2 linked regions of the Drosophila melanogaster genome follow. The protein of the gene in region 1 interacts with the protein of each later gene in a pairwise test. Each region holds a gene or a part of one and is shown in the gene's direction. Other genes may lie near its edges.

Region 1 (4,911 bases):
GTCTTGAAAAACAAAGAGCCTAATTATTTGTTCATAGGGCGGGTAAAACTAAATGAGAATATATTTGACTGCAGGGTATCAAATTGCGAAACGAAACCAGACAAAATTAAAGTACAAACGGCTACCATTGAGTTATAAACACTTAGAAGAGCTACCAAGTAGTTAGACTACCAAAATAGACCATTAAGGGTGTTAGTTACCTGGGCAACGGTCTGTTCGGCAATGGGAATGTCATCGTTGCGCAGATCAACGCGTTTCACCACCGACGAGGGATCCGCATCCAGAATAATGCTATTTGGAAAACGGGTAAAGGTTTAAATAGAATATTTGTATTTAATAATATGTAATGCATAATATACAGTGATGAATGGCAAAGTATATCTTTTTGTACCTCAGGTGATTTCTAAAGCTCAGCCTATAAACTTAAAAACTTATACGAGCTGCATGCCTAGGATGCCAGTGCTCGTATGTATTAGTTTAATCTTTAAGTTTAATATATTTTAATATTTAGTTTGATTTATATAATTAAACTTTTGTACCTATACCCTAACATCGCAGTTATCATATAACTTTTCATTGGACTTGACTAGGTTTTGTTAAAAAAAAGGAAGCTTTAAATGCGGTTAACTACTTAGAGGCTTCACTTGAGCTGGCCTAACTCATAGACTAGTAAATAACAATGTTATTTATGGGAACTTGTGTAGTAATAATTTGATGTTTTCTAAACGAACTGCTGCTAATGAAAGCTGCTTTAACTTGGTCCCTTGTTCTTTCCATCCATCACTGTATACGCTAATACACACCCTCCGTCGCAGATCTCGTCAAATGCCAGCATGATGATCTCCAGGTTTTCCAGCACCAGGCGCTTCTCAACGTTCTTCTTGAGGATCAGGCTAATGGAATCGTAGAGGCAGTTGAGCACGGACAGCAGGATGAGCTCGTTCTCGTAGGCGTTGCCCATCACGTAGAAGAAGAGGTCCACGTTGCTCTTGTACACGCAGGTGAGTCCGTCCAGCATAATGATCTCCGTGTTGGAGCGGTGCGTCTTATTGAACAGATTCTTTTCGAAGGCCTTCTGCTCCTTCAACGTGGACAGGATGTTCTTGTCGTAGTACTTGGCCAGGATGCGGTTGCCATCGTTGTCCATGATGCACATGCCCTTGATGATATCCTGCAGCACATGTTGGGTTTGATTTTAAGCCAGTTACTTGTGTATTTTGCAATTTACCATCATAAATCCGTCCATCTTCACTTGTTTTCGTGTCTTACACGTCACTTTAGTATGACCATATTGCGACCGCTAAATTATACCAACTAAACAGTACTGCCAACTCGAGTCACAAAATAAATAGCTAGATACAGTTAAAACTATCTAGAAAAACTGTTAAAATTTTTGAATTTTAGCTAAGCCGTTATCGTTGTTTTATTATTATATTTTAAATTATAATTTGAAACACATGGGGGGCTGGCTTGCTTGACGTTGGCCGTACTTTGCTGGGGTATTTAAAATAAAATAATGTAAATGTAAAAAAAGAATAACGGTTTAAATGTAAATTATCCTGTCTTAAATAAAACAACAGTTTGGAAAGATCAAGAAAAGAATTGTCAATGTCAATTTTATTATTGCAGAAACTCTGTTTATTTTTAACTTACCTATTATTGAAGAAATCCTGATTATGACAAGAGTTCCAAATTTAAAAATTGCCTTGCCTTTGATTTGTCTGTTTCAAATGAGGTTTAAATTTGAATAACCTAGAAACAACTGATGACAACCAAAATTTGTGAATATTTTAGTAACAAGAACAGGCACACGTACAAATTATTTTCGCCCAGCCAACGAAATTGTTAGATTCAATTGTGTATATTTTTATGTGAACAACTAGAGGGCATTGCGATGGAGACTTTGCCGGAAGAGTATGTAGCCCATCGGGATCAGGAGCTGTTGGGGTGCAAAGTGGGCCGTTCCTCTCGACGTCGGCATGACCATGATGCCATGGCCGCTGCCCATGTGGTGCTGACCACCGCTGTGGTAAAACCAAAGCCAACAAAGCCGGAGTCCAAAAAGCTGCGCAAAAAGCTATCCGAATGCGAGCAGGAGAAGCAGTCACTGGCCCAGGCCATTCATGAGAAGAATCAGGAGATATCCGACCTGAAGAAATCGGTTGATTCGCTCAACGAGGTGCTCAACTCCGTGCCCATTGATGAGCTGCGCTGCAACTCCTCCATTGCCAGCACCAAAATCCTGGAACTGAGCAAGAAGAACCGCCAGATGCGTTCCGAATTGGAGCAGGCAAAGAGTCGGCTGGGTAAAAAGGATGCTCAGATCGAGAAGCTGGAGAAGGAGCTGCGTGCGCACGAGGAGAAGCTGCAGCATAATCAGGATCTGCCAAAAAAGGGCTGCTCCCCCGATGAGCTCCAAGCCAAGATCAACAGTATGCAGCAGAAGCTCTTCGAAACGCGAAACAGGAACACCGAGCTACAAAGCCAACTGAAACTGGCCCAAAAGTGCCTGCAGCACGAGATCGGTGAGAGCTGCAACATCAACATCCTGGCCAACAATCTTAATCAGGCCAATTGGCGCGGTCGTGCTCAGCAGATCATCGCGCTCAACCAGAAAGTGCACGAGCTCAAGGCTCGCTTGGATTTCTACGAGGACCGAGCCGTAGATCGAGCCGAATATGCTGCCCCAGTGCCGTTGGGTTCGGATCTGGAGTTGGTAACCGGCAGCTGTCGATCACATCATGCCAGCTCTGAGAGATTAGGTGGAGGCGATGGCGGCGGAGCCACAACGGCCAGCTTCGATCGCTTTACACCGGGTGTGCGTAAAAGTGAGATTCTTCATCGAGCCAAGGTGGAGGCTCTGGAAAAGGAGATTCTTAGCCTGCAAAACCAACTGGAGGATCAACGCAGCAAGACACTCGCCCTAAAGGTGAGGAACAAGAATCTGAACGAGGAGATGAACAAGTACAAGATTCTATACAATGAGCTGGAGGAGCAGACCGACTTCAATGGCACCAATATCAATACCATGAATGACAAACTGAACCAGCAGAGGATTCAGTACGAGAACCGTTTGGACGACATGCGCGGCGAGCTGGTCCGGGTGACCGAGGAGCGAGATCTTTCGCGCCGGCAAATGGAAGAGCTGAGCGGTATGCATCTGGAGCTGCAGACGGTGGTCAAGCAGAAGGATGTGGCCATGGCCAGTCTGCAGGATATGATCAAGAAGCTGGAAATGGACCTGCGCGCCCTATCCGGCGGATTCCTCTTCTCCTGCCGCGAGTTTCGAAAGGTAAAACTCTGTACACTAAAACATAAGCTATTAATTTGCTTAATTATATTCCGCAGGAGGAATTTGTGGGCATCCTGGATGCTCTAGAGGTGGAGAAAAATCAGCTTATGTTGCTCACCAAAACTCTAGGAGATCGTCTGGAGACGGAGAGAGCCAAGAACGAAGCAGCTCAGGAGCAGATTGGCAAGTTAAAGGCCCGTATCAGCCGACTGGAGGTCAAGATCAGGGACCTGGAGAAGGAACTCGATGTGCAGTCCGATAAGAAGAAACGCACCCAGCGAATGGCCGACTACGCCAGTTCGCTGAGTCGCACTTCTCTTAACGGATCGATTGGTTCCTTCTGCTTCGAAAATCAGTCCCAGTACCAGTCCACAAATACGCTGAATTCGGCAGGACAGCCTGAGCCCAGAATAGAGGATCTAAAGAATAAGTAAGTTCGGACACGGCAATCCCATCGCTTAATCAACTATAACTACTTATATTTTCAGTCTTGAACTGGCCAAGGAAAAAATCACAATGCTGACAGAGAAGCTGGAGTATATCACCGAGGAGAAGAACGCAGATGCCAAATTTTTCGAGGACACCATCAACAGTACGAAGACCATTATCCTTGAAACTGTACTTGGAGCTCGCGAAAAGGGATTGAGCGATCGTAGCAAAAATGCAGATAAAAGCACGAGCGAGACTTCCATTCAATAATGAAGATGAACAAAACCACGATTTTTATTTTGATTAGTTTTTATGTTCTTTGCAATGCTAAAAAAACTGGACGAGAAGTCATGCCATATACATATTTATATGTAACTGGAATGTTATTAAACTTGCATGGCATTGCAATGCACATCATTGATTCTGAAGTACCGAAAACAATGAGTTTTAAATTTTCATAAATTTTTATTTGATTTGTAACACGTTCACAAAACGAAGCCTTTGGCGCTGCTTCTATTTCAGGATAAGATTAGATTAATTCAAGTATTTGTTAGGTGATTTCTTTCCACTCGAAGCATTTCCAATTGCATTATGCCTATATAATTGTTATTAATTGCTGTCTATAGCTATGCATGTGTGTGTGTGTGTGTGTGTGTGAGTGTCTTGTAAGTTAAGTTAATAATACATTATATATAGCTTGACTTGCCATAGAAAAACGATCCTGCAATCACATATTAAATTAGTTTTAGTTGCCGTTTGTAAATTGCTTCATTATTTGCGTTAGAAATTCGTTCTCCATTGCTCGCGTATGGTATGAAAATGTATAAGTTACAGTATAAGTATATTTTTTTTTATTGATTCTTTAATGCATTATTATTGATAAGCCTAGTAAATTGGTTTTATCTAAAAAACACGTTTTAGCAAATTAAAGGCACTTTCAAGGATTTCTTTTGTGAAACGAAACGATATCTCCACCTTATTCTCTTTCTTCAATTTAACACTAGAAACAAACAATATATAATTATTATTCTCTTAACAAAAATATTTATATATTAAAAACATGAATTTCCCCCGCAAAAACAAGAACAATATCCTTCAAGTCCTCCTCGTTTACACAGATAAATTGACAAAATTGTAGGGATAAGGACGCGATCAGAATCCGAGTGGATTGCTGCTAATGCGAAAAGCTT
Region 2 (5,287 bases), on another chromosome or scaffold:
CTACCCAGGTAGGATTCATTATTCCCTGATTTAGCAATTCCTGTACTGGGTTTACTACTTCAATTTGGTGTGTTTCCGGAAGGGGGTATTGTTTTGAATAAATTGGGGAGTTATGTGTTGCATTTAGTACCTATTTAATGGTATTTGTAAATGTCAGTTTATCTCCTCCTTTATATTGAAGATTTTTAAATTTATTTAATAAACTTCTCAATTTAAAATATTCCTCCTTATTTAGATGATGTAATTGATATTGTGAAAAATCAATTTCTTTTTGATTCCTGATATAAATCAGGATTGTAATTGGATTGGTGTTTTTTGGATATAAAAATTCTGGGTTCTTTCCGATTCTGAGGTAATTAATTATTTATTAATTTCTAACTGATTGCGCATTTGTCAACAATTTTCTACCAATTACGATATGCTAATTATCGTAACTGTGTACATGAAATGTTTGATTTATTTTTAAAATACTATTGCTGGGTAAGATAATCAAGCTTTTCGAAGTAGTAGGCATTTGATGTTAAAACTTCACATATACTATTTTGATATGTATTTTCCATTGATCATATTATTTGTTGATCCTGTATCTAGTAGGCATTTGTATGTGCACCCTTTGTATACTATTTTTATGTATTCGTGTTGTCGGGGCCGTTGACCGAAAATTTTCGTTTAGTTCAGAACCATTTTGATATATATATATTTTGATATATAATATTTCGTTATTAATTTGTACGGGTTGGATCGGTTGTTGCCCTTCATTTATGAACCCATGATTTTGATATGGATTGTATTGATTTTGGTCATAATACTGTTGTTCGTAATAATTAGGTTGGACTTGTTCGAATTCATGTGCGTCTTGGAATCTCATTTCGTCAATAGACATTTTGAAGTTAGAATTCTTAGTTGTGGAGGCTTGTTGTATTGTAGTTGAGGGTATGTATTTCTTATAAAATGTGCTGTTTGAGGATTTTGGATTTGTTGGAAATGACTTTTGGGAATACTTGGTTGAATGCTGATATATGGGCTGGACTTGAAATAATTGGGTGGTATTGATTAAAATTAGGATGGAAGGGTTGAGAATATTGTGGGTAACTTGGTGGATATTGATACAAATACCCAATTGTATTGAAGTTGTGTGATTTTGAATTCAGATAAGGATTTGAGTTTTATTACGGATTTCGAGAAATTTGTTCAATCCAAAATTATTATGTTCTTTATAAATTCCCTCACTCTGTGCAATAGTAAAGTCTGTAATATCACGATGAGCCAAAATATTGTAGTAAATAATTGTATTGGTAGTTATAAGAGTCACTCGTGGAGTCAAAAAGGCATACCAGATTCGTAGAAAAGTATGTAACAGTCGGGAGAAAGCGTTTCCGACTGTATAGAGCTTACATATGTATAAATATATTTGATAGGGATCAATAGCCGGAGTCGATCTGTCCGTGTCAACGTCGAGATCTCAGGAAATATAAGAACTAGACGGTTGAGATTAAGCATACAGATTCTAGAGACATAGACGCAGCGCAAGTTTGTTGACGCATATTGCCACGCCCACTCTAACGGCCACAAGCCGCCCAAAACTGTCAGTTATTAGTCGATTTGACAAAAACTTTTTGCCACGCCCACTGTAACGCCAAGAAGCCGCCGAAGTGGTCACGCCCACACATTTGAACAATTTTTAATTACTTCTCATTTTATTCCCCAATATCTATCGATATCCCACAAAAATGATAAAAATTTCGCGTTTGCATTCATACTAGCTGAGTAAAGGGTATCTGATAGTTGGGGAAAACGACTATAGCATTCTCTCTTGTTGTATATCTGTAAGTTCATTGGATGAATTGAATTTCCTCCCAATTTTTCCTTTTTTTATTTTTTTTTTGTTTGTTGAACAAGGTGCTTGTTAAAGAAACTACAATTGAGCCAAGACAATTTTATAAAACTACAAAAAGAAAAATTATTTAATCAAAATAATAAAAATTTAATTAACCCCAAACTTTTCAATCACCTTCCAGTGCCTATGCCCGCCACCTTCCAGCCTCCACACAAGTCATCAATGTTTTCTACACACGTAGCCTCCTCAGTTGTTTAAGGGATCACAAAGTCTAAGCTTCGCATGTGCCGTGTTGTTTTAAGTGAATTTTGAGTTTTATTGTCGTAAATTATATAATTAGTTCATATACAATCATGTAAGTACAACAAATATTAATAAATATTCTTAGTGGCATGACCATTAGTAAAATATTAATTGAATTACTATATTACTTAATCTAAGCCTATGATTATAGTACCAATATTAATTAAGAATGATCTATGAATAACGATTTTAATCATTTTAATAATCCAATGACTGGTTAAGGCTCTAGGCAAATTACTTAAACAAGTGCTAACGAACATTACATTGACTGCATTTCGCGCGGGAGTATACATATACATACACATTTTTATGTACGCACATGTATGCCAAGAAAATGGCTTAAAACTAAATTCATGTAGAATTTGTATAGTGCACGATAAAAATGCAACCCAAATTCAACCATAAGCACATTTATTTTGATGGTCTGCAGCACTTCGCAAGTTTTGAAACCAATTCGGATATTATATTTTAAATTTCCTTTTCGTTTAGTATTCACAAAATCCGACGATTTTAAACACATATTCATATTCATATAGATAGTTGAATTGAAACTGTTTTCCAACCAAATTGGTTGGAAATTGATATTGATGTGTGTTGTGGATTGGAAAGGAGGATGTGTCGTGTTGCTACGCGTGCATCTTATGAAGAGTGTTGGGATTTATATTGATGTACACATAAACATACGTAACAATTTAAGCTAGGGCTAAAACAGATTAAATAAATTCGAGTTAATAAAATAAAATGGCTCATTATGCACGCTTTTCGTATAATTTCCCGAGCCTATAAAATATGTACAGTATGAAGTGAGCATACACCACATGGCTTAAGCTTAGAAAAAAATATCTTTATTTTTTATTGTACAAAAAATTAATGATGTGATAGTTGTGCGGATGATCTTAAATCCTGCTCGTGGAAGCATTTTTTTATATCATGAACCTAAACAGGTGTCGAATTGTTGTTGGATAGTTTGCTGTTATCACTCGATCAGAATCTATATGCGAAAACAATTTTGCCCACGGCCACTCTACTTCAAGCCACTTCAACTTCAAGCCGCCCACACGTTCGAAAAATTATTTTATTTGTCTACAGTTTTTTTGACAATTTTAATCGATAACCTAATAAAATGAAACAGTACATTTTTCTTGTGCTCTCCCACTATCTGAGTATCCGGTATCAAGAAACTCGACTATATCGTAATTTCTTGTCTTACCTCTTAAGTATTAAGTATTACCTAGTATTAAAATATATATTTGAAATATGTATGTATAAGATGAGTGCTGTGTTTCTCATCTTCCTATATATTATGAAAATTACAAGCTTAAAGTTAACCGCTTAAGACAGATCACCATACGCTCCCTCGATTAATAATTACCTGGAAAGCCTGTTGAGCCTAGATTTTCTTCGCATAAAGTAAATGTACATTTTTTTAACTCTATGCCGCGGAAAAACGTTGGTAATTTGGAAAAATTATATTCCGCCTACAAAAGGTAATCCTTTAAGTAATCCAAATGCTGTGTGATGGTACAGGTGTTGGAGGTGACCTGGAACAACGGACAGACGGCGATGACAGAAATGGGGCGGAGTCATTAAGAAACCATTATAAATGAGGATTCAGTTTGGTTTTATTAAGATTGCAGCGCTTTCTAATTCGGAAGAAATGTTACTTAACTACTACTTAACGAAATTCTGAATATTGTCAACAAAATCTGAAGAAAAATCAATGTACAAAATCTTAACAAATTCTGCAGAAGTTTGGAAAGGTGTGAAAATGAACTTCAGCAAGGTTCAAAAATCTGAAAACAAATTAGTAAAAAAAAAGCACATGTAATGTTTTAATGTAACCAGGGAGTACAAAATGTGTATACATTTCAGGTAACCATGAAAGCAAAGTAATATTTGAAAAGAAAATTAATTAGCTTCCTAGGTCACATCCCCAACCGTAGATGTCTATGAGCAAACTTCTTTGCCCGAATTCGGGAGTCAAGGGAGTCAAGGGAATTGGAGACCTATGCGGTTTTCAGGCACTACCGGTCCACAATAAAGTGGGGAAAACGCATATGCGGTCTTAGCCACTTATTTCTCATTTTGGACTGGACTTTGTTAAGAAGGTAAATGCAAATATTATTTTCGTAAAGAATTCTCTAGAACATGAAAGCGGCACAATAATGATAATTGTATTATTGAATCGTCGAGGGCCTTGGCAACCGGGACCGGGACATTTGCAGACCCTTATCAAGCCATTCCTTAATAAAATCGCTACTATCCAATCCGATTGGGAACGCGTAATTATTAAAAATAACCTTTTCCCAATGGGCGTATCGCATAGGTCATAATCAGAAAATCGAGATAACCTTACAACAACCGCGTGTGTGTTTTCGATAAAAAAGGACATTGTGAAAATGGCAATAAGAAAAACGTATCGTTATCCATTTTAAGAAACTAAAGAACGCTATTGACGCTGAATACTTTACAATACTTCAAATTATGGGAAAAGCTCCACATTTTACAACATCGGACCTTAAATCGTAATTCCATCAAATCGAGTAATTAGAGAAATACAGGGAAACCCCTGAAATATTTTTTAATGACGAACTGCATTTCTACAGAACTACAGAACTGCATTCTGCACCACTCGGACTGCAAATTGCACCAAATTTTTTCCAAAGGACAATCGATGATGCTTTGCGGAACAGATCTTAAATAAACATGCTACGTGTATGTCGATGACGTCAGTTCTTCACAAAAACTAAAGATCATCAAATAAGATATAGAACAGAGCTTAAAAAGTTTATAAAAGCCGGCATCAGGCAGTCTCAAGAAAAGTAAATCGAGGCCTTCCAATCACCTACGTTGATTTACCAAAACTAATATTGCCATCATTCATAGTGATGATGCTCTCTCGTACCTTTTAACTGTTTCCGTAATCAAAAATAATCGCGGAAGCAGACTTCTCATCTACGAAAATCTTTATCCGGCCAAAATAAATTTCTATCGTTTCCCAAAAAAAAACGTTTTGCCACGCCCACTCTAACGCCCTAAAACCGCCCAAAATTGATGGATATTTCTTCATAATTTTATTAGTCTTGTAAATTTATATCGATTTGCTAAACAACTTTTTGCCATGCCCACGCCCACTAACGCCTTAAA

Evidence for each region.
Region 2: the proteins of CG13032 (region 1) and Marf1 interact in a two-hybrid assay, tested with the Drosophila melanogaster proteins (one large-scale study listed by BioGRID).

What each region holds. Positions count from the first base shown.
Region 1 is NT_037436.4:16,672,254-16,677,164, forward strand, and holds CG13032 (uncharacterized protein), read left to right. Parts: upstream 1-1,710; 5' UTR 1,711-1,894; coding exon 1,895-3,292; intron 3,293-3,348; coding exon 3,349-3,722; intron 3,723-3,780; coding exon 3,781-3,991; 3' UTR 3,992-4,011; downstream 4,012-4,911. Other genes in the region: zetaCOP (coat protein (coatomer) zeta), read right to left, coding at 201-291, 804-1,171, 1,229-1,246.
Region 2 is NT_033779.5:22,309,847-22,315,133, forward strand, and holds the start of Marf1 (meiosis regulator and mRNA stability factor 1), read left to right. Parts: upstream 1-2,080; 5' UTR 2,081-2,192; intron 2,193-5,287.